6 linked regions of the Canis lupus familiaris genome follow. The protein of the gene in region 4 purifies or fractionates together with the protein of the main gene of each other region. This does not show direct contact. Links are inferred from orthologs where the notes say so. Each region holds a gene or a part of one and is shown on either strand. Other genes may lie near its edges.

Evidence for each region.
Region 1: the proteins of MAP3K14 (region 4) and TIMM13 purify together in Homo sapiens (affinity purification with mass spectrometry; 3 studies listed by BioGRID and IntAct, with this or other methods). This does not show direct contact. The link is inferred for Canis lupus familiaris from reciprocal best matches to the Homo sapiens genes MAP3K14 and TIMM13.
Region 2: the proteins of MAP3K14 (region 4) and CDC37 purify together in Homo sapiens (affinity purification with mass spectrometry; 5 studies listed by BioGRID and IntAct, with this or other methods). This does not show direct contact. The link is inferred for Canis lupus familiaris from reciprocal best matches to the Homo sapiens genes MAP3K14 and CDC37.
Region 3: the proteins of MAP3K14 (region 4) and CAD purify together in Homo sapiens (affinity purification with mass spectrometry; 3 studies listed by BioGRID and IntAct, with this or other methods). This does not show direct contact. The link is inferred for Canis lupus familiaris from reciprocal best matches to the Homo sapiens genes MAP3K14 and CAD.
Region 5: the proteins of MAP3K14 (region 4) and BIRC2 purify together in Homo sapiens (affinity purification with western blotting; 3 studies listed by BioGRID and IntAct, with this or other methods). This does not show direct contact. The link is inferred for Canis lupus familiaris from reciprocal best matches to the Homo sapiens genes MAP3K14 and BIRC2.
Region 6: the proteins of MAP3K14 (region 4) and NFKB2 purify together in Homo sapiens (affinity purification with mass spectrometry; 6 studies listed by BioGRID and IntAct, with this or other methods). This does not show direct contact. The link is inferred for Canis lupus familiaris from reciprocal best matches to the Homo sapiens genes MAP3K14 and NFKB2.

What each region holds. Positions count from the first base shown.
Region 1 is NC_049241.1:57,135,270-57,137,821, forward strand, and holds TIMM13 (mitochondrial import inner membrane translocase subunit Tim13), read left to right. Parts: upstream 1-1,133; 5' UTR 1,134-1,205; coding exon 1,206-1,325; intron 1,326-1,409; coding exon 1,410-1,478; intron 1,479-1,642; coding exon 1,643-1,741; 3' UTR 1,742-2,052; downstream 2,053-2,552. UniProt on the Homo sapiens protein: Mitochondrial intermembrane chaperone that participates in the import and insertion of some multi-pass transmembrane proteins into the mitochondrial inner membrane.
Region 2 is NC_049241.1:51,128,770-51,132,269, reverse strand, and holds part of CDC37 (hsp90 co-chaperone Cdc37), read right to left. Parts: intron 1,222-3,500; coding exon 940-1,221; intron 596-939; coding exon 487-595; intron 374-486; coding exon 258-373; intron 173-257; coding exon 50-172; intron 1-49. UniProt on the Homo sapiens protein: Co-chaperone that binds to numerous kinases and promotes their interaction with the Hsp90 complex, resulting in stabilization and promotion of their activity. Inhibits HSP90AA1 ATPase activity.
Region 3 is NC_049238.1:21,284,941-21,288,083, reverse strand, and holds the end of CAD (CAD protein), read right to left. Parts: coding exon 3,013-3,143; intron 2,902-3,012; coding exon 2,827-2,901; intron 2,320-2,826; coding exon 2,107-2,319; intron 1,930-2,106; coding exon 1,804-1,929; intron 1,605-1,803; coding exon 1,449-1,604; intron 1,365-1,448; coding exon 1,263-1,364; intron 1,061-1,262; coding exon 966-1,060; intron 866-965; coding exon 763-865; 3' UTR 501-762; downstream 1-500. UniProt on the Homo sapiens protein: Multifunctional protein that encodes the first 3 enzymatic activities of the de novo pyrimidine pathway: carbamoylphosphate synthetase (CPSase; EC 6.3.5.5), aspartate transcarbamylase (ATCase; EC 2.1.3.2) and dihydroorotase (DHOase; EC 3.5.2.3).
Region 4 is NC_049230.1:18,175,765-18,179,264, forward strand, and holds part of MAP3K14 (mitogen-activated protein kinase kinase kinase 14), read left to right. Parts: intron 1-1,194; exon of another isoform or gene 1,195-1,755; intron 1,756-2,715; coding exon 2,716-2,845; intron 2,846-3,081; coding exon 3,082-3,213; intron 3,214-3,500.
Region 5 is NC_049226.1:29,451,277-29,455,262, forward strand, and holds the start of BIRC2 (baculoviral IAP repeat-containing protein 2), read right to left. Parts: upstream 2,801-3,986; 5' UTR 2,793-2,800; coding exon 1,961-2,792; intron 1,870-1,960; coding exon 1,770-1,869; intron 1-1,769. Other genes in the region: proline-rich protein 2-like, read left to right, coding at 3,585-3,639. UniProt on the Homo sapiens protein: Multi-functional protein which regulates not only caspases and apoptosis, but also modulates inflammatory signaling and immunity, mitogenic kinase signaling, and cell proliferation, as well as cell invasion and metastasis.
Region 6 is NC_049249.1:15,092,336-15,096,266, reverse strand, and holds the start of NFKB2 (nuclear factor NF-kappa-B p100 subunit), read right to left. Parts: upstream 2,801-3,931; 5' UTR 2,646-2,800; intron 1,388-2,645; 5' UTR 1,314-1,387; coding exon 1,293-1,313; intron 1,017-1,292; coding exon 935-1,016; intron 821-934; coding exon 780-820; intron 515-779; coding exon 416-514; intron 337-415; coding exon 185-336; intron 1-184. UniProt on the Homo sapiens protein: NF-kappa-B is a pleiotropic transcription factor present in almost all cell types and is the endpoint of a series of signal transduction events that are initiated by a vast array of stimuli related to many biological processes such as inflammation, immunity, differentiation, cell growth, tumorigenesis and apoptosis.

The sequences.
Region 1 (2,552 bases), on a different chromosome or scaffold from region 4:
CTCCTGTCCGCAGCCTCCCCCTGAAGGGACGTTGCTGTGGCTGTGGCGGTGCCCCCGGTGGCCCCGGGCCTGTCCACCCCGCCGCCGCGTCCGCTCACCGTTTACACCCTCCACATAGATACACAGAAGTTATTTTTTTAATGGATATTTATTTTTCTACATTGGTCAGTACCCAGACTGCGGCCCGGGCCCCACTGCAGGGCTGTGCGGGCGGCGCTGGGACCGCCCCGGGGGAGGGGCGCTGCCCCGTGGGTCCTTCCGAAAGGGCAGCTGAGTCTTGCAGACGAACACTGAGCCACGCCCGCCTCCCTGGGACGCGGCTTGGGGCCGGGCCGAGGCCCCTGGAGGTGTAGTGTCCGCGGGCCGGGGCTCGCTTCTCAAGGACGGAAACGTGTCCCCGCTTCCCCCGATGCTGACGGGCCCCGGGACGGCGGCCGGACCCGGCCCGACCCCGGGGCGCCCGCGGCGGACCTGGGCGCGGAGGCTGGGCCTCGGGGCAGCTGGGCCCGCAGCCCCGGCCTCCCCAGGAGGGGAGCGGCCACGCTAGGCCGCGGCAGGCCCCGGGGGCGCGGTGCACCGGGCGGGTGGCCTCCGTGCTGCAGGCGTCCCGGGGGGGGGGGGGGGGCCTGGGCAGCAGCTCGGGGTCCGACGTCCTTAGCTTTAAGGGCTCCAGGGGCGCGGAGTGGGCTCCCCCGCCGCCCGCCCCCCGCCCCGCCCCCGCGCCGGAGCCCCGGCTGCCGGCTCAACCTGCCGGGCCGCGCCCGGGGCCTTGCATGCCAAACGTGTGGTCTTTTTCTTTCTCCGATGATTTGTAATATGCATTTTATGACTGGAAACTTTTTGTACGACGCTCCAATAAACGTTTTGGTTTTAAGTGCTGCCCCCGAGTCCGCGGTGACGCGGCGGCCCCGCCCGGCGGGAGGGGAGGGTCGGAGACCCCGGGGCGGCCCGCGCTGTCGCTCACGTGATGCGCTGTGCGCATGCGCGGCGGCACCCGCTGTGCGACTCGAGGACGTCCCGGGCGGCCCTCGAGCCTCCCACCCGCCGCCGCCGGCTCGCTCGGGGGGCCGCACGGCCTTGTGGGAGTTGTAGTCCAACTCGGCTCCACGCCCAGACTCCATTTCCCGTGATGCCCCGGGCGGCCGACTTCCGGCGTGGGTACGGATCGGCGCACGCGGTGTCGGTTCGGTTGATTTTGCGGAGCCATGGAGGGTGGCTTCGGGTCGGATTTCGGGAGCTCCGGCGGCGGCAAGCTGGACCCGGGGCTCATCATGGAGCAAGTGAAGGTGCAGATCGCCGTGGCTAACGCACAGGAGCTGCTGCAGGTCCGGGGCCAGGCCGGGGCGGGCGCCGTGGGCGGTGGGGTCCACGGGGGTGGGTGTCGCGGCTGAGCTCGCGTGTCCCCACAGAGGATGACGGACAAGTGCTTCCGGAAATGCATCGGGAAGCCGGGGGGCTCCCTGGACAACTCCGAGCAGGTGAGTCCGGCGGGGCGGCGGGGAGCAGCTGCGCGTGCGCGGGCCGGGGGGCGGTCGCGGCGGGACCAGTGCGCGTGCGCAGCCCGCTGCCCGGGGAGGGGGCGCGGGGCGCCGGGCGCGGGCGGGGCGGGGCGGGAGCTGAGGCGCGCCCTCCCCGCCTGCAGAAGTGCATCGCCATGTGCATGGACCGCTACATGGACGCCTGGAACACCGTGTCGCGCGCCTACAACTCGCGGCTGCAGCGGGAACGAGCCAACATGTGACCCCGGGGCGCCGCGCCCGGCCCCCTCCCCTCACTCTGTTTCCATAAAAGCCCTTTGCGAGGCGGGGTCCGCCCGTGCGTCCTGCCTGCGCGTGCTTGTGAGACCGGCCGGCGAGCGCGGCGGGGGCCCGGGGGCCCGGGGGCCCGGGGGCCCGGGACTTGGAGCGGCGGCACGGCCCCTGCTGTGGCCAGGCCCACCTCGGCCTCGAGCGGAGAATGCGCATTTGGACCTGGGGGTGCGGTCGCCTCCTACCCCCACCCTCGAGCTGTGACCTCTGACGGTGGACGGACGAATAAAAGGGGCGGAGAGAAGCCGGGCGCTGTTTCCTGCGGGGCTCTGCGGGCGGTGGTCGCGCGCGTCCCCGGGGGGCCCCCGGCAGCCCCTCGGGGCGGGGGACGGGGCAGGGGCCCCTGCTACGGCGCGGAGGTGCGGAGCCAGAGGCAGGGGCACGGGCACGGGCACGGCCGTTTATTGCAACAAGGTTGGCGGGGACGCCGCCCGCAGCCCCCTCCCCCGCGCGGCCGGCCCCGCCGCCTCCTCCTGGCCCCGGGCGGCGGCCGCGGCGGTCACTCCTGGACGTGCTGCCCGATCCAGCCCCGCACGGCGGCCACCCGCGTGTAGACGCCCGGGAAGTGCGGCCGTCCGCAGCCGTAGCCCCAGCTGGTGACCCCCGTCAGCACCCAGCGGCCCGACGGCTCCCTGCAGGCCAGCGGTCCCCCGGCGTCACCCTGGGCGAGAGGCGAGGCCTGAGCGCGGGCCGCCGCCGGCCGGGCCCCGGGAGGCGGCTCCGGGAGGGCGGTTGGGCGCGGGC
Region 2 (3,500 bases), on a different chromosome or scaffold from region 4:
CTTGAAGAGGCCCACACCCCACCCGACCCTGGCTCCTCGGGGACACTACCTTGATCTTAGTGAAGAACTGCCGGAAGCAGGCACGGGGATCCACCTTCAGGCTCTTAGCCAGCTCCAGGATGAACTGCATGACAATGGTCTGGTGGGCCACTTGCTCCATGAGTGCACATTTCTGCCAAGGGAGAAGAGGTAGGATGTCACCAAGTGGTGGCCTCAGGGCAGGGCTTTCCCCTAGTCCCGGGGTAGACTCCACTCACCTCCTCCACCTCTAGGTCAATGCACCAGATGACCAGGTAGTTGGCTGTCTCCTCGCACACCAGGTGGACATTGTCTGATAGGTACTTCTGGCTGTCATCCCAGCGGCGGAGCATGCCTACGAGAAGGTGTTGGCAAGGTGCTGAGGGGCCCCAGAGGCAGAGGACCAGCCCCTGTCCTGTGTAACCTCCTAACCTTAGCCTGCCGGCCCCCTCCAACGGCCCAACTCACCAAAGTGCTTGATCTGTTTCTCGTACTTCTCCACGAAGGTTTTGTGTTTCTGCTCCCTCACCTCCTCCGACTCCTCCTCCGCCTGCTCTGGTTTGGTATTGACCATGCTCTGTGATGGGGCGAGAGGGGGAGTGGGCTGGGGCGAGGCCGCAGAGCGCCTCCAGCACGGCCGGGTGGGCCGAGGCCGCAGCGCCCATCCCTTCCACGGCGGAGGTGGTGACGGCGCCATGAGCATCAGTGTGGCGGGAGCGTGGGTGTGGCAGGTGTGGCCTCGAACTAGGGCCTTCGGGCAGATCAGAGGGGGGTACCAGTGGGGTGCTTCATCCACCCAGCCCCACACCTGTCCCTCCACCCTCTCCATGCCAGGGCGTCCCTCCCTTGAGCTGTCCAGGCCTTACCCCCACCTACCCCACCAGCCCCTGCATGGGGGGAACCCTGCTGGCCCCCTCCCACCTTGCTGAAACCGTCCTTGCTGAGCGTGTCCACGTTCCAGGGCATGCTCTTCTCCTTCTTGCGCATCTCCTCCAGCTTCTGCTCCCAGCTCCGCTCCTCCTTGCGCAGCTGCTGAGCCTCGGCCTGCAGCCGTTCCAGCTCCACCTTGCTGCCCTCGCCCTCGGCCACCTCCAGCTCCTTCAGCTTCCGCTGGCACTCAGCCACCTTGCGCCTGCACTCGCGGCAGCCCCTGTCCAGCTCCTCCTTCTCCTTCTGGAACTGCTCCATGCGCTCCACCCGGGCCTGCGGGCAGACACAAGCCCTGCACTCCGGGGAAAGGCTGGTCCCTTGACCTCGGCCCTGCCCCACCCAGGGCTCCCACCCCCTGCACCTGGGATGGCCTCAGGGAATGTGTGCACCACCCTCTGTGCCCCCCTGGGGGGGCAGCTTCCATCCCACCAGGATACCTGCACACACCTTACTTTGTGTGTGTCCACCCCCAACCCTGCTCAGAAGGCTCTGTGGCATCCATGTCACTCAGAGCAGAAAACCAAGTCCTATCTATGACCTACAAGGCCCTGCACAATCTGCCCCCTCCCTCCAGTCACAGTAGCTGCTTTGTCTTTTCTTGAACCCACTTCTAAACTCAGGGCCTTTGCACTAGCTGTTGCCCCAGCCTGGAAAGTTCTCTCTCCAGACTCCCCCCACTGGCACCCAAACCAGCTTACTCCCTCACATCCTTGCCATCTTGGCTCAAACATCACTTTACAGATGAGGCCCTTCCCTGACCACCCTGCTGAATGAAGATGGCAACCTCCCCTTACTTGTGCCCTGTTTCACCTTCCTCCTCAGCACTCATTACCTGCTAGCATCTGGTGGCAACCTGGTGACAATTATTTACTGTTCTCAACACTGTCCCTCTCTGAGGAGTGGGGTCCCTAGAGATGGGGGATCTGCTCACTTGTGTCTCACACACAAGTGCACAGTCAAGGCTCAGGAGACACTTGTTGGATGAATAAAGTAAGGAAATACTGGATGGGGGTCTCAGGCCACTCGTCCTCCCCGGAGCCGCCCTCAGTGACACTCAGGTGCCCTCCCTTGCCCAACAACCTCCGATGCCCCCCACTGAGGCCTGTTCACTGGTCCTGTCCTTTCCTCCCTCTTTCCTACCCAGTCCTGACAGCTTTCGCTTCTAGAAGTCTCTCCAATTTGGTCCACCCAGAGAACTACTCCTGGATGGCTGCCCAAGGCCCCATCAGCTATGTCTCCGGGCCAGCACACCCACCCTGAGCCTTAGCTCGGTGCCCACCGGCCTCCTGTCCCCCCTACCCCAGCTGTTGCTCCCCAGACCTCCTCTGCTGTTGCACCCCAAGTTCAGATGGTGCCCTCGTTCCCCCTCTCGCTCCGGTCCCCACAAGACTCTCTACAACATGACATGGCCCTGTCTGTCCTCCACCCTTGCTTTGCTCCATCATCTCCCCCAGCTCTCAGCAGTGCCTGCTCAATCCAAAGCCCCTGACTGAGCCCTGAGAGGTGCCACCACCTTCCACAGCTGTTCCAAGCTAGACTGCCAGTCTTGGAAATTCGCACATCTGTCTGCAGCCCTTCTTGCCACCCCAACCTGGAGCGTCTACGCTCAGATGGGATCCCAAAGCCTTACTCCAAGCTGCCCAAGTGGCACCAAGGCCCCAGGGGGCCAGGGTCCCATTCTCCTTTCCCAATTCTAGGTTGCAGGCAGATCCCAAATGCACCAGCTCGCTCTTGACTCTTGGACTCTGCAAAGGCTGCTCCTTCTACCTGGAACTCTCTTCCTCTCACTCCATGTCCTTTGGCCCCAGGTCTCAGCTTCTACAGAGCCTTCCCCAAGGGCCCCCCATTCCCCATCACTGTGCCTCAAAGCCCCCTTTAAGATCATCAGACAGCATGATAAGACACTGGAGAACAGCCTCAGGGCCCCAGATGTGGAGTCATAAGCCGTGGCTACTGAGTATAGGCTGGGGTCCTTGGGTCAATCCCCTGACCTCTAGGGACCTCCGTTTCCTCATCTGTCAAAGGCAGACAACAGTACCGACCTCACCGAGCGGCACCAGGAGAAGCAAAGGAGATTTAAGTCAAAGTAGACAGTCCAGAGCCATGCTGGATGCTCGGCAAGCACCATTCCCGTGGTGGCGACTGCCATTACTATCCAAGGGGACAATCTCTCTCTCTCTCTTGACCATTCTGGGGCTCAAACAAGAAAGCATACTTCGAGTGTTTCCATCAATTTCCAACCCAGAGCACATGCTCAATACCTGGGAGTGGTTGTTACCGCACTGTCACATCACCCAGCTCCACCGCGTACTGGTGACGTGACCTTGGCTAAGACACTTAAACACTTCTAGCCTTGGAGTTAGTTCCTCTTTGGGAAAAACGCAGCATCAAAGGAGTTACTCCCAGGAAACTGCACGCAGTCCTACGTAATGAACACATTCCGCTGTTAGCGTCACCATCCTGGCCACTGGCCCCAGAGTGGTTCACTCACTCACTTCTGGGCCTTCTCTGAGGCTGTATCTCCAAGTTTGAGCAGAGTCAGGCACGCAGTA
Region 3 (3,143 bases), on a different chromosome or scaffold from region 4:
CATGGCATCTGCCCCTGTGCCCCTGGTCCAGTCTGGGAAGTCCAGTGTCAGCCAGAGGCTCCCAGGGATAGTAGGTAGGAGGGGCTCCTAACAGTGACGGCACGTGAATTCCAAGGCCAGGTTTTGAGGACACAAGGGCCACCTCAACCACTGAAGAAAAGGACTGACCACAGAGGGAAGAAGAGGAAAGGCCTTGCCAGATAGTACCCTGTAACTTGCATCAGAATTTTGAGTGCAAATTTATTGAGGAAAGACAGTGGGCTATGGCTCAGTGCAGCACAGGACTCCGCACCAACAGAACAGCACATTCCTGCCCAGACCCCAGAGAGCCACGGCTCTGAAAATGCTGAGCCTGGCTGCTTGGCCCTGGCCAAAGCAAGAGCCTGCCCAGTAAGGCTGCTCTTGGATTTGGGAAACCGTTCTCAAGTTCCAGAAGAAAGTCCTGCCCATTAAACTAGCATCCTCTGCTGAAGCCAGGATACATGTGAGGAAGCAGGCACTTACAAGCAGCTTAGCTGTTTATTTAGTCAGTAGAAAAATGACTTTACAGGTTTGCGGTACATTAAGGGAGACGGGGCCCCACCCCCATGCTAGAACACTCCAGTCCAGTCCAGTGCCTGACACGTGGTCTGCAGATGTGCATATGGGCACATGAGCTATCTGGACGCCCCAGAGCATCTCCTAAGTGTGCTGCCCCCGTGGGGGGCACCGATTTCATGCCCAGCAGCTGGGCCTGACAAGAAGAATCTGAGGAGTCAAGCCCTAGAAGCGGCCCAGCACAGTGGCTAACAGAGCCATGCGTATGTACATGCCATTCTCGGCCTGGCGGAAGTAGGCTGCTCGGGGGTCTGAGTCCACCTCCACACTGCAAGAGAAGGACAATGGTTAGCACACAGCCCACAAGATGGACTGTCTTAGACCAGGTGCCCACCCCCAGTGTAGCCTCAATTCTAAAGTCATGTCACCTGATCTCATTGACTCGAGGCATTGGGTGCATCACCACCATCTTCTTCTTGGCCCGTGTCATGATGTGGGGAGTGAGGATGAACTGGCCAAAGCACTGTGAGGCAGACAGGGGCCATGTCAGTGTCTCAGGGCTGGGGTGGCTGTGTGGCCATAAGCCTGGATTCCTCCAGGATCCCTTCCACAGCCACACATGGTTATCACAACCAAGAGGCCTGATCAAGCTTCCAGCCGTCCCATCCACTAATTTGGATGCCTCGAAGCTCCAGCCCCGGCCTCCCCTCAACCGCGGCACTCACAGCTTCATACTCCTGGCTAGACTCAAAGCGTTCCTTCTGGATTCGAGTCATGTAGAGCACATCAGTGTCGGGCAGGGCTTCCTCAATGCTCTCAAATTCCTCCTGGAGGGTGAGGCAGAACCAGAGTGAATGCAGTGCCAGGCTCTCACTGCCCAAACCATGTCCCTCATGGCCTCCTGGGCTCACCTGCTTGGTGCCACGGGCCGCCACAAAGGCCCGCACATTGGATGGCATGCGCAGGCTGGGAGGGGCCACATAACGCAGGCTGACACGGTACTGGGTGAGCAGGCAGGCCAGAGAATGCACTGTGCGTCCATGCTTCAGGTCCCCCACCATTGTGATCTAGGGGAGGAAGCCAATCACCAAGAGGGCCCTCAGATCAAGCACCTGCCCTCCCGCTTCAAAGCTTTCAGACTCAGGACCAGGATATAGGCCCCCTTGCTGCATGCAGCATGCTTTGGAGCAGAGAAGGTACTTCCCAGCTGCCTCACTCTCCAGACCTACCCCTGGCAGGCCTCTAACCCTGACCCACTACCCTCACCGTCATGCCATTGACAGTCCCAAGCTCCTCCCGGATGGTGAAGATGTCCAGCAGGGCCTGGGTGGGATGCTCTCCAACCCCATCCCCAGCATTGATCACTGGCCTCCGGCAGTGCTTGGCTGCCAGCTGTGAACATGAGAACAAGAAAGGAGAACCTTGTCTTCTGCATCTCAGTGGCCCCCGCTCCTTGCCCAAGCCCCACTCTTCCTGGGTCCCCTTCCCTGTCTGGCCCAGACAGAGACTTGCAGTCATGTCCCTAGATCCATCCTCATGAACCCTGTTCCAGTGTGTAGCTTGCCTCACCTCCACTGCTCCAGGCTGGGGATGCCGAAGCACGACGACGTCGGCATAGCAGCTCATGGTCTGCACTGAGTCAGCCAGGGATTCACCCTTCTGGACCGAAGATGTGGCTTCTGAGAAGCTGAGCACAGCGCCCCCCAGCCGGGCCATGGCTGCAGCAAAGGAGCTGCTGGTGCGTGTGCTCACCTCGTAGAACATGGAGGCCATTACCTTCCCCTGGCGGGAGGGCAAGACTCAAAGTGAACATGGGTGTGTTCATCCTGGGGAAAGCACAGGCTGCTGCTTGCTTCCCCGACTTACACAGGAGGGAACCTCTCCCTGCAAACCTCCTCGTGACCTGTCCTAACCTTGACATTTCCATCAGTGTCACGCTGAGTTAAAGGCTCCACCTCCAAAGAAACCACTACTAGGTATTTGAATGAGATACTCTCATTCTCTGGGGATGAAGGAAACACCCCAGTTCTATCCCGTGAATACATATTCATAGACCAAATGACCAGATCAGGCTGATACACTGGCTCTCAGGGCCTTATAAGTCAGTTAAATACTCAGAGACCAGACATGGGGGCTGAGGGGTGCCTAGGGTAACAGAACCTTCCAGAGTAGAGAAAGCTAAGTAACACATTGTAGAGCATTTAGATTTACATGAAGGGACCTCCTGTGGAAGAGGGAGATCCCTGCTGACAGGATCCTGGACCCATAACCCACAGCCCTGACCCTGACCTTGAGTATGTCGAGGCTTCGCTCCTTCTGTACCATCATACGCAGCGTGTGTGCCACATTGAACAGGTGAGACATCTAAGAAAGACCCTCAAAGTCAGCTGGAAAGGCAGTGGCCCTCAGAGGTCCTACCCCAACTTTTCAGATTCTCAAAGCTCTGGGTGGCCCCATCCTCCCTCCCCCAGGCACCTGATCCTTGGTGAATTGCTGGACAGACAGGATATGTTGACCCACTAATGAGTGCAGCAGGGGTGAGGTCTGGGGGTGCAGCAGGCCAGGGGTCCCCAGGTTCTGGGGTGACGCCTGTCTAGGTACTGGTG
Region 4 (3,500 bases):
TAAATAAATAATTTTAAAAAAATAAAAAATAAAAAAAGACTTAGGGCATCTATGCGCATGTGGGGGTGAGGGGCAGAGGGAAAGGGAGGGAGAGAATCCCAAGCAGACTCCCTGCTGAGTGCTGAGCTTGGAACCCTCACCAGGCTCGATCCCACCACCCTGATGTGGATGCTGAAGTCCAGGAAGGAGAGGTGGGCCAGATGGGTAGCTGGCTGGGACAGGAGGGCCATGTCCATTCTTCCCACCCAGCTCCCTCTGGCCTGTTCTTTCTGCTTGCTCTCCCTGGGACTGGCACATTGTGTTTTGAAGCATCCCCTCTGACCCCTTTGGGTCTAAGTGACAATTTTTTTTTTTTTTTAAGATTGTCATTTTTACGTAGTCTCTACACCCAATCTGGGACTCGAACTTGTAACTCTAAGATTAAGAGTCACACACTCAACAGACTGAGCCACCCAGGCGGTCCTGGGTGAGAATGTTTTTAACATTGCTGGGACACTCCCAAGGACTTATGGATTTCTTAATAATTAAAGCAGAGGTTCCCAAACTTTCTTGCTTCGCAGCCCTTAGTGTCAGAAATTTTTCATGGTACCTCAGGCCAAAACAAGTACATTAAAGCTCCCTTTAGGTCAAACAATAGTGGGTTTTTTTTTTAAGATTTTATTTATTTATTCATGAGAGACAGAGAGACAGAGAGAGAGAAAGGCAGAGACACAGGCAGAGGGAAAAGCAGACTTCATGCAGGGAGCCCGACGTGGGATTCCATCCCGGGTCTTCAGGTCAGCCATGGGCTGCAGGCAGCGCTAAACCGCTGAGCCCCCACCCCCCCTGCCCAAAAGGTAGTGTTCAACCTAACAACTTAGTGGTCATTTGAATAACAATGCATATAAGTCAAAGAACCTTTTTCTTCTGTTCTTTTTTTTTTTTTAAGATTTTGTTTATTTATTCATGAGATACACACAGAGAGAGAGGCAGAGACACAGGCAGAGGGAGAAGCAGGCTCCATGCAGGGAGCCTGATGTGGGACTCGATCCCAGGACTCCAGGATCACACCCTGGGCCAAAGGCAGACATTCAACCGCTGAGCCACCCAGGGATCCCTTTTTCTTCTGTTCTTAACCATAATTCCTAACGGGATGTATGCCTCCTTGGGCACTGCACAATTCTCAAATTTTGAAATCCAGCTGGACATCCTCACCTGCTCCACACTTCCCCCCTAAAGTACTTTTATCACAGCACCCTCCAGAAACGTAGCTCCATGAAGATCTGTGGAAAGAATGGAGCACAAGCTAATGCTGAAACTGAGCTCTTTTGAGCAAGTAGTTTCTGTGATGCCCCACAAGATAGCCATCACTGCTGCTTCCCTCAAATGTCAAACACCCTGCGGCGCCCTGCTGAGTCCTCAGGGGTGCCCCAGAGTGCTTCCGCTCACAGCTTGGGAGCCAGAGAGTTAAAGACATTTGCTAGTACAAGTCCTGTTGGTGAACTCCAGCTCAGGTTCAGAGCTGGAAACACTGACAAAGAGTCAAAGTTTATGCGAGTTGATTAACCAAACCAGATATTCTGTAACCAGAAGACATTTTCCACTGATAGGCGAAAGTCCAAAAGCCCAAAAGCCCCACATCGGCAGAGCTCCTGCCAAGTCAGCACGTCTCCAAGCAAAGCTCTGCCAGGCAGGTCCTGACTGGTTTCTTCCAGGCTGGTTTTGCTGCCACTGGCGCCCCCTGCTGGTACCTCTCAAAGCTAAGTCAGGAACGAGCTGCAGCCAGAAAGGACAAGCCTCTGTTAGAATTCCAGGTGTTTAATGAGCCGCCCTTATTTGACCTGAAGTGGACACCTGACATTTCCTGAGCACCCACTGGTTGCCAGGCCTGGTGTTGATTGTTGATTATCATCCCTCCAAGTCCTCCCTCTATGCGGGACCAGATACCACTGTCACCTCCCTTTGCATATGGAAACAGAGCTTAGGGGAAGCAATCTACCTTTGGAAATGGCCAAGCCAGAGTCTGTCTAGGATGTTTGGATCCCAGGCCTATTTCATCCCACCCTGCTGCGCTGGTCCCTGCACAAAGGAGTGGGTGGTCCCTGCGGGAGGAGCCTTGGCCAAGCCACTCCCCCTTAGAAGCTGCTCTTAGGCCAAGATCCTGGGGAAACAGCTGCAAACAGAATAAACAAGCACTACTCCATCTACATAGACATTTTCATCCTCAGGGGAAAAGACAAATAATTGGGAGTTGAGAAAAGCGCTGAGAAGGGTGCTGACAGAGCCAGGATCTTGGCTGCATCAGCTCTGGCTGCAGATAAGATGGAAACCCGGCCTCTGGGGAATAGACACAAATGTTGATAAACAAAAGGTCCCACATCCTAGAAATGGCCTGGCCATTTGGGCTAGGGGAGAAAAAATTCTGTTTTTGGCAGATTTGAGGGTGGGCAGCATGCCAGGGCTCTGGATAGGGTTGTAGTTTTTGTGTGATTCTAATTGTTTCCACACACATCAGCAGTGCAGAACTTTAACCACATACTAGAAGTTGAACATGACCCCCAGGGTACATAGTTTAGTTTCAGGGTCCAGTAGCCCCACCGGGGCCCTGCCTGGCCTCACAGTCAACACGGGAAACATTAGCAGTCTCTGCAGGGAGCACCGAGGGTCCTGCCAGGATGCCAGGGAAATGGCCCCAGGCCCTCACGCTGACTCACAAAGACCTCTGGGCCCTGCCAGGTGCGCATCGAAGTGTTCCGGGCAGAGGAGTTGATGGCGTGTGCGGGATTGACCTCACCCAGAATCGTCCCTTTGTATGGAGCTGTGAAGGAAGGTCCTTGGGTCAACATCTTCATGGAACTGCTGGAAGGTAAGGAGCCAGGCGCCACTCTTCCCCCGTCATAGTTCAGAGCCAAGACTTGGGGTTTCCCCACGTCTTGCCCAGGTTGACCTTGGTCCCTAGTAATTCCATTTTTTAATCTTCTGACCCTGTGACATGGCCAGGAAAGGCCTCCTTTCCACCAGCTGCCCTTCAAAGGCCTTTGCCCTTGGCCTGCCTGCAGACCTGGAAATGCCCCACATAAAGTCTGGCCGTTGGTCTCCTAGGTGGCTCGTTGGGTCAGCTCATAAAGCAGAAGGGCTGTCTGCCAGAGGACCGGGCCCTTTACTACCTAGGCCAGGCTCTAGAAGGGCTGGAATACCTCCACTCTCAAAGGATTCTGCACGGAGATATCAAAGGTGAGGCTCATGCCCCGACCGCCCTGGTCCCCAGCTAGCTCCTCTCTTACCTCATCCTGCCTGATTTCCTCGTGGATCTGGGCCTGCCTGGCCATTCCCTGGGGCAGGGCCTGAGTCCGGCCTACAGGGCTATGCTGGTGGGACGGGGAAGTGTGCTGACCAAGCCCTCAGCCTGACACCATAGCTGCCAGTGGCAGATCCAGCTCCTATAGGCCCATGACCACTGGGAGAAGGCAGGGGGACAGTAGAGCTGAGTGGCAGCAGCCCCAGGAGTAAACTCTGTCCCT
Region 5 (3,986 bases), on a different chromosome or scaffold from region 4:
TAAAGATAAAATTTTAAAACCCAACTTTTTTTTTTAAAGATTTTATTTATTTATTCATGAGAGACAGAGAGAAAGAGAGAGAGAGAGAGAGAGAGAGAGAGAAAGGCAGAGACACAGGTAGAGGGAAAAGCAGGATCCATGCAGGGAGCCTGATGTGGGTGGGACTCAATCCCAGGACCCCAGGACCACGCCCTGAGCCAAAGGCAGATGCTCAACCGCTGAGCCACCCAGGCGTTCCAAAACACAACTTTTAACAATGTACTGACTCAAAATAGTTCTTACTTCAAGTTCCTTTATCTTAAATCATAAAAAAAAAAAAAGACAAAAGGATGTTTTAATTTCCTGAAGGTGTTCAAGAGATTCCTCATTCTTATGAAAGGCACTCAGGTCAGGACATTGTCCTGCTCAACTGCACTCCTATGAGGCACCTGGTGAAATGCAGAAGAACCATGGCTGTGGGGGTGACGGGGAGCCATGTGAGGAGTACAAGCTATGCTTGGGATGACAGGAAAGTCTGGTGGTGATGACTGAGGAACAATGTGAATGCAGAGAAGTACATACAGAAGGAGAAATTTAAAAATGGTTAAAACGGTAAATTTTGTTAGGTATTTTTTACCACAATTTAAAAAATTACCTAGTCTAACCCCCTCACTATACAAAGGAGGACAGAGTTTCAAATGGGTCACACGACATGTCCAAGTTCACAAAGCTTCTCAAAAATGAATTTCTAATTCTACTTCCACAAACAATACTGCCTCTCAATTCTTTGTGGGGTACAGTGGAAAACAGGACCTACTGCTAGAGACACAGTGACTAAGAAAAGATGAGTGACAATCACAAGATTAACTGTACAGAAAAAATAACATAATTATAATCAGACTTAATCAGCTTTCATTATATGCATTTTTGTATTTGCCTTTTCCTAGATCATTTTATGTCGCTTTTTCTCCTCTTCCCTTTTTTCCAATGTACTTTTTTCTTTTTAAGATTTATTTATTTATTCATGCGAGACAGACAGAGAGAGAGAGAGAGACAGAGAGAGAGAGGCAGAGACACAGGCAGAGGGAAGAGCAGGCTCAATGCAGGGAGCCTGACCTGAGACCCGATCCCGGTCTGCAAGATCACACCCTGGGCTGAAGGGGGCACTAAACCGCCGAGCTACCCGGGCTGCTCTTTCATGTTATTTTACACACCTTTGTAATCCTTACAATTTCTTTAAGGCAAAAGGGGAACCCTACAGATAAAACATATGGCCATAATTGTAAATGAATATCAATAAATTAAATTAGGGGCACCTGGGTGGCTCAGTCAGTTAAGTATCTGACTGTGATCAGGTCACGATCTCGGGGTCCTGAGATCCAGCTCCACATCAAGTCTGCTTGTCCCCGCCCCATCTAGTGCTCTCTCTCTCAAATAAATAAATCTTAAAAATAAATAAATTAAATTATATCCTGAATACACAGCTTACAAAAGAAAAGAGAATACTAAAACATTTTTATCAAAATAAAAATTCAGTGTATTTTTTTCAGTTTTTATCTTAAAGAATAACCTCCACACCCAATGTGGGGTTCAAACTCACAACCCCGAGAGCAAGAGTCACAATCTCCTCCGACTGAGCCAGCCAGATGCCCCAGATTTGGTGTTTTAAAAGACCAAGTCCCCACAGGCATAAAAGCATCTTTGCTACACAGAGATGTAAACATGAACCCTGCAAGCAGACCTACTTTTGGAAAGCAGTTTTGTGTGGAAATACCTTTCAAAGCAATTACCTGGGAAACCACTTGGCGTGCTCCACCCATGGGTCATCTCCAGACTCCCAACACCGCAGTCCACCGTCACAGCAAAAGCATTTGACATCATCATTGCGACCTAAAGAAAACAAGACTGAACTGAAATACATGTTCTGATATGTTCAACAAAGCGAACCTGATAAATCATACACTACACCTTAGTTTCTTACCCACGTAATAGAATCCAGCACTTGCGAGCTGCTCAGGCCGCACGGGGACACTAGATGGCCAGTACACGAAAGTTCTCAACCGGGCCGCATGGGTCTGCATGCTCAAATTTGAAATGCTAAATCTCAGGGTCTCCAGAGAATTTTCCAAAAACGGGCAGTTGGGGAAATGTCTCCGGTGTTCGGACATCGCGTCATCCTTTGGTTCCCAGTTACTCAGGGTCCCACCGCAGGCAAAGCAGGCCACCTTATCTCCAGGTCCTATATAATAAAAGCCTGCCCTTGCCAAGTCTGACGGGGACAGAAAGGTTAGCGGCCACATGTGATAAGTAAGAAATCTGGCTTCCTCGGTGCTCATGGCGTAACTGTAGGGGTTAGTGCTCAGTGGGGAGAAGTCTTCACCTGCTCTGGAACTCACAGGGTTTGCTGCGAGGTTGGAATGAGAACCACTAAATGAGCCATGTTCCAAAGTGGGAGATATCGAATGTGTAAAACTGTTTCTCATTGCAGAAATGTTCTTAGAGGTGGAATCCCGGCTGGTGAGAGAAACCAGACTGTGAATAAAACTACAGCTTGGATAGAGCTGTTTATGCTTTTCAACAGGATTGTCTCCAGGCTTCCAGTTGTCCAGCATCAGGCCACAGCAGAAGCATTTGACCTTGTCATTCACACCCGTGTAATAGAAGCCTGCGCGGGCCAGGCTCCTCTCTGAGACGGGAACACCCGCCGGGAATGTGGAGTATGTAGACATTCTATAGAGTTCACACGAAAAGTCATATTTTATTTTTTGTTTGTTGCCAATTGTCTGGTTTCGTAAGATGGTGCTATCCTCCATTGTCCTCTTAATCCTCTGATATGAACCTGGGACAAGTCTTTGGGAAGTAGTTTTGTGCATGAGTGATGTTACTTTTTGATGGCTAAAAACCTTCACATGAAACTTCTATCTTCACAAAAAATTAGTTTTTATCATATAAAAGAATCAAATGACAGGCTCCTACTTCTGTAAAACTCACTACACCTTCTTTATGGGATTTATGCCAGAGTTTACACTGAGGTGAGATAATACCTGGAATCCAGGATATTAAATTACCAGGATACTACTTAGCACTATTTCAGATTAACTCTTATGTAACAAGTGCTAACTGCTCATTATTTGGTGTAATATCAACATAAAGACCTGAGAAGATATTGGCACACTTACGGAAATATGTTAAAACTGCCTGATTCTTCAGAAGGTTGATGTTCCCAAAATTCTAAATAAGGTACCTAAATTATACCGTTAATATGTTTTTAGTTACAAGTTCCAAAACCTGTTTATTAAGCCAATCACAATTATGCTTCGAGTGGGAAAAAGTATACACAGGTCTCTTCCAAGCACCTCAATATATTTTTAAAACTCTTGGCTTTATTCCAGCAAACAAGAATTAAACTCTTCATATGGTCACAATATCTAAAGGCTAATTTCACATAGGTTATCACCACAGTATTTATGTGAGGGTATCAACACTCACCAGCTTTCCAGACCTAACCTTGCCTGTTTTAGCATGTATGATGTCATATGAATTTTGCTTAAAGCTAACTGCTAACTCTTCCACCTTTGTCTGTACTTGTTTCCATTTCCTACAGCATGACGATTTGTTTCTTCCTCACTCTGCATATCAACTACACTTGGTCAACTGAAGGTATTTTCTCCATCAACTACTTAACCATAAAATTTCCACAACAGGAACTTTAACACTGCATTTAAAAATCAAACAACCTATCTTTCACTTAAAAAATCATGTTTCTATAACATCATTCATTTTGTAAAGATTAATCAACTTATCAAGACACAGCTTACTCTTTCTGGTGTTATCTAGTGTTATCACACACGTATAACAATATATTATAAACCTGTCTCTACACAATGGACCAGTAATTAATCCTACTAGCGCCTTCCTTATGAAAACCCTTGATCCTTTATAATTCATACACAAAATTACACTCCATAAAATTCAAGCTATATCCCTTTAGAAAGCTTCTGGTTCTC
Region 6 (3,931 bases), on a different chromosome or scaffold from region 4:
TTCCTCCTGAGGCACCCTCTCTACTGCCAGGCCTCAGCTCAGCCCTCATTCCTCCAGGAAGCCTTCCTGGTTTTCACTTGGGGCCTGGGGTTCTGAGGCCAACCTGTCTCTCTCCTTGGTCAGATGCTAAACTCACAGAGGCAGGCTGGGGCCTAGGACTGGGAGGCAATGAGGGGGCACCTACTGGGCAGTCATGTCCTTGGGCCCCACAGACACGGCGCAGACCCCCAGCTCCGAGCATTGCTTGCCCACCAGGCTGTGGGCATGAGCGCGAGGTGGGTCACTGTGCGTTACCAGGTCCACCTCAATCTTGGCTGGTCCCTCGTAGTTACAGATCTGGGAGGGGTGAGGGTTGTCAGTAATGCTCCTGAACACACTGTTAGCCCACCCTCCATCCAGCACCATCCTGACTCACCTTGACTGTGGGATAAGTCTTCCGACCCTTCTCACTGGAAGCCCCTGGCAATCCTCCATGGGAGGGGCCTTCACAGCCATATCGAAATCGGAAGCCTCGCTGAACGTCCCAGGGCAGATTGACAATGTGAACAGGAGGGACCCCTCTTTTCCCCCCAAGCCAGTCACACTCCCAGCCATCAGTGACCACAATTGGCAGTGTCTCTCCTGAACCACAACACCTCCATTGTGATCAGTAGCAGTCAGCCGTTTCAACCCGAAGTGGCCTCCGTGATCAGTGACCCTCCCCATGGCCACCCAACTACAACTACCCCACTGGTCCCTACAGCCGAAGTCCTCCCACACCATCCCTTCCATTCACTCACCTGCTTAGGCTGTTCGACTATCACCAAGTAGGGTCCATCAGCTGGGGACAAAGGGGCCTTGCTGAGCCAGGATTTCAGGGCCATCCCCCAGTCAGAGGGCACATGCTCCTCCCTCCCCCCTCTCTAGGACAAGGGGAGCTAAGGAACTCACTAACCTGTCTCTGGGGCTGGCTCCTTGGGCTCTGCAATGCACGGGTCGAATTTGAAATCATCATATTCAATCATGCCATCCAGACCCTGGTTTGGAAACAGATTAGGGTGGCAACTGAATCTGAGACACCGGAGAGCCTTCCACTTCCCAGCCCTGGGTAGCCACTCCCTTTCCTCCCCAGACCCATAAAAAGCTCCTCTTGGAAAAAGTTTGCAGACAGGCAGGCAGACTGACAAGCAGGTTGAGATAATCAGAGGGCATTACAGGTGTAGGGGGGCAGAGGGGACTCCGACAGACAGGCAGACAGACAGACAGACATGGGGGGCAGCCGGCCGGTTTTAGGGCCAGGAGGCGTGACTCACTGGGTCGTAGCAACTTTCCATGTCTCTGGGCTAGGCCCGGCTCTGTCTGGTGGCTCCGGCCAGGTTCTGTTTCCCAGAGTGTTTCAGGCGCCCGCCTTAGGTGGGGGCGGGGGGGAGTGACGGGGGGTGGGAGGGAGAGACAGATCAGGACACGAGGGGGGGGCGAGTGGGCCCCAGATTTGGGGGAGGGTCTGATCTCTTCCAGCCACCCGTCCGGGTGTGGCGGGCGAGATCCGGCAGAGCGCGAGATCCGGAGCTGGGCTGGGCAGGGCCGGGGAAGCGGCAGGAAAGTTAGAACAGCTTAGGAAAGTCCCGAAAATACCAGGGGGAGGCGGGGCCGGAGGGGGCGGGCCTGGAAATGACGCCACTGGCCCCGCCCCCGCGGCGGGAGGGGCGCGAGGTCGGCGGCGGCCTCCGAGCTTGCAGCGGCTCTGAGGGCAGAGGGGCAGCCAGACCCAGGGAGGCGCCCCTGGTGATTGGGCCCCCTTCCTCGTCCCAGGGCAGGTGCGGGGGGCTGGAGGGCCTTTCAAAGGTGGGGGACGCTCTTAGGTCGGGGCGAGGCCCGCCTCCCGCCCCCTCCCCCTCCCCTGTCCTGGAGCAACCTTGGGATTTTCTACCCTGAGGGAGGCCACGGCTGATTCACCCGGGGGCTTTTGGGGGGACATTCCTGCTGTAGGAAGGCCTCCTTTCCGAAGGCCTGTAGGCGGGGGCTCTTCCCAGCGGGGGCCCCCGGGGTTCTGCCCCGAGAACGGACTCTGGGGCCGTGGGGCGGGGGGAGGAACAGGGTCTCCTTCTTGGGACGGGCCCTTCTGTTGCCTCTCCCCGAAACATCTCAGCAGTCATTGGGTTCCCACACCGCACCTGCTCCGGGTGCCCACGCCCCCTGCCCCAGGCCCATGGCCGTGTGTGTGTATCACAGGCATAGTGTGCGTCGTCCCATGTGCTTGCGTGGTGTCAGTATGCATGTACCAGTGAGCAAGGCTGTGTGCAGGTGAGCGTCTGTGAACTTCTCAGTGTGGACGCGTCTGAGCGTGTTTTGATATGTAAGGGCACAGGTGAACATAGGAGTTCGTGCGTGAAGGATATGGGTCCAGGCACCTGTGCACGGGTGAGCATGTTTGCGTGTGCGCGAGTCTGAATGCATGGACAGTGCTGTGCACTCGTTCGCATACGCGTAGGTGCACGTATGGGTCCGCGTGTTTTGTTTTGTTTTTTTGTACAAGGATGTCGATGAGTATCCGTACGTCTTGTTCGTGTGCGTCCTGTGTGTGCTTGCAGATACCGCTCTCCAGCCCTGAGCCTCGGTTAGTTAAGGGCCCTCCTTCCGCCCTTCCCCGTGTCCCGGCCACTCACCGCGGCGGCGGCTCCGGTTCCGGCTTCTCTCCGGCCCGACCCACCTCGGACGGGTCGCGACACTTCTCCACAGCCACCCAGGCTCCAGCCGGGAAAGCCCCTTTTCCACCCCCGGGAGGGGGGAATTCCCGTGACGTTTCCGTGCGTCACGCCCCGTGCCCTTTTTCATTGGCTGAAAGTTTAACTCCGGACTCGTGCAGCCAATCCGGAGCGACTCACGCACGCCCCTAGAGGGGAGATACTAGCTCAGGCGGAGGAGTCGGGAGGTAGGATGACGGGCCGCTACTGCTAGGGCTCTGGCAGGGGGACCTGTCGCAGGCTGGATTCGCTGACCGGGCGCCATCTCCCGGCCAAGGGCCCCGGCTCCGGTCTCTTTACCCGCCCCGCCAGCCCCCAGACAGCTGGCAGTCCCTGCTGCTACTCGGCTCATGCTGCGCCTAACTCTTGCCCACTTCTGAAGCCGGGGAACCCCAGAGGGAAGCTGGGGGGCCCCAGGCCTCGGGTCCCCAGCCCGGAGCGGGGCCCCCGCTGCCGGGAAGAGTTGGGGGAAGAGGAAGGAAGTTGATCTCGCAGTTGGTCCCGGGGCGCCATCTGGCGGCCCCTGGTGGAGGCGCACGGAGACTCGGTAATCCTCTCGTGTTGTCTCAACTCCGTCTCCCTTCGAAGAGAGCATCTGAACCTGAAACTTATTGTATAAATGGCAAGGTCACAGAGGGAGACTTCTAGATCTGAGCTCCGGCTCTCTGCGCCAGGGAAGGTAAATGAGGTGTTCATCTTGGAGACTCAGATCTTGCTCATCCATCACGGAGATTTGGAATATTAGAATTGAAAAGGCATCCAAAATCTTAAACGGTTCGAACTTCCTCCAATGTAGGAAATAACCTTTTATAGAGCTTCCAACCCCGCTTGAACACTTTCAGTGGCAACAAGATCAGCACTGGACTTCATAAAATACTGACTCTGAGGCTGAATATCTGTGATAGGTGGAGTCCTGGTAGAACACAGGCTTTTGTTTCAGTTTTTTTTTTTTTTAAGATTTTTAATTTATTTATGAGAGAGAGAGAGAGGCAGAGACACAGACAGAGGGAGAAGCAGGCTCCATGCAGGGAGCCCGACATGGGACTCGATCCCGAGTCTCCAAGATCAGGCCGTGGGCCGAAGTCGGCACTAAACCGTTGAGCCACCTGGGCTGCCCTGTTTGATTTTTCAAGCAATTTGCCCGTGACCTTTTTTTTTTTTTAAAGATTTTTTAAAAAAGATTTATTTATTTATGATAGACATAGAGA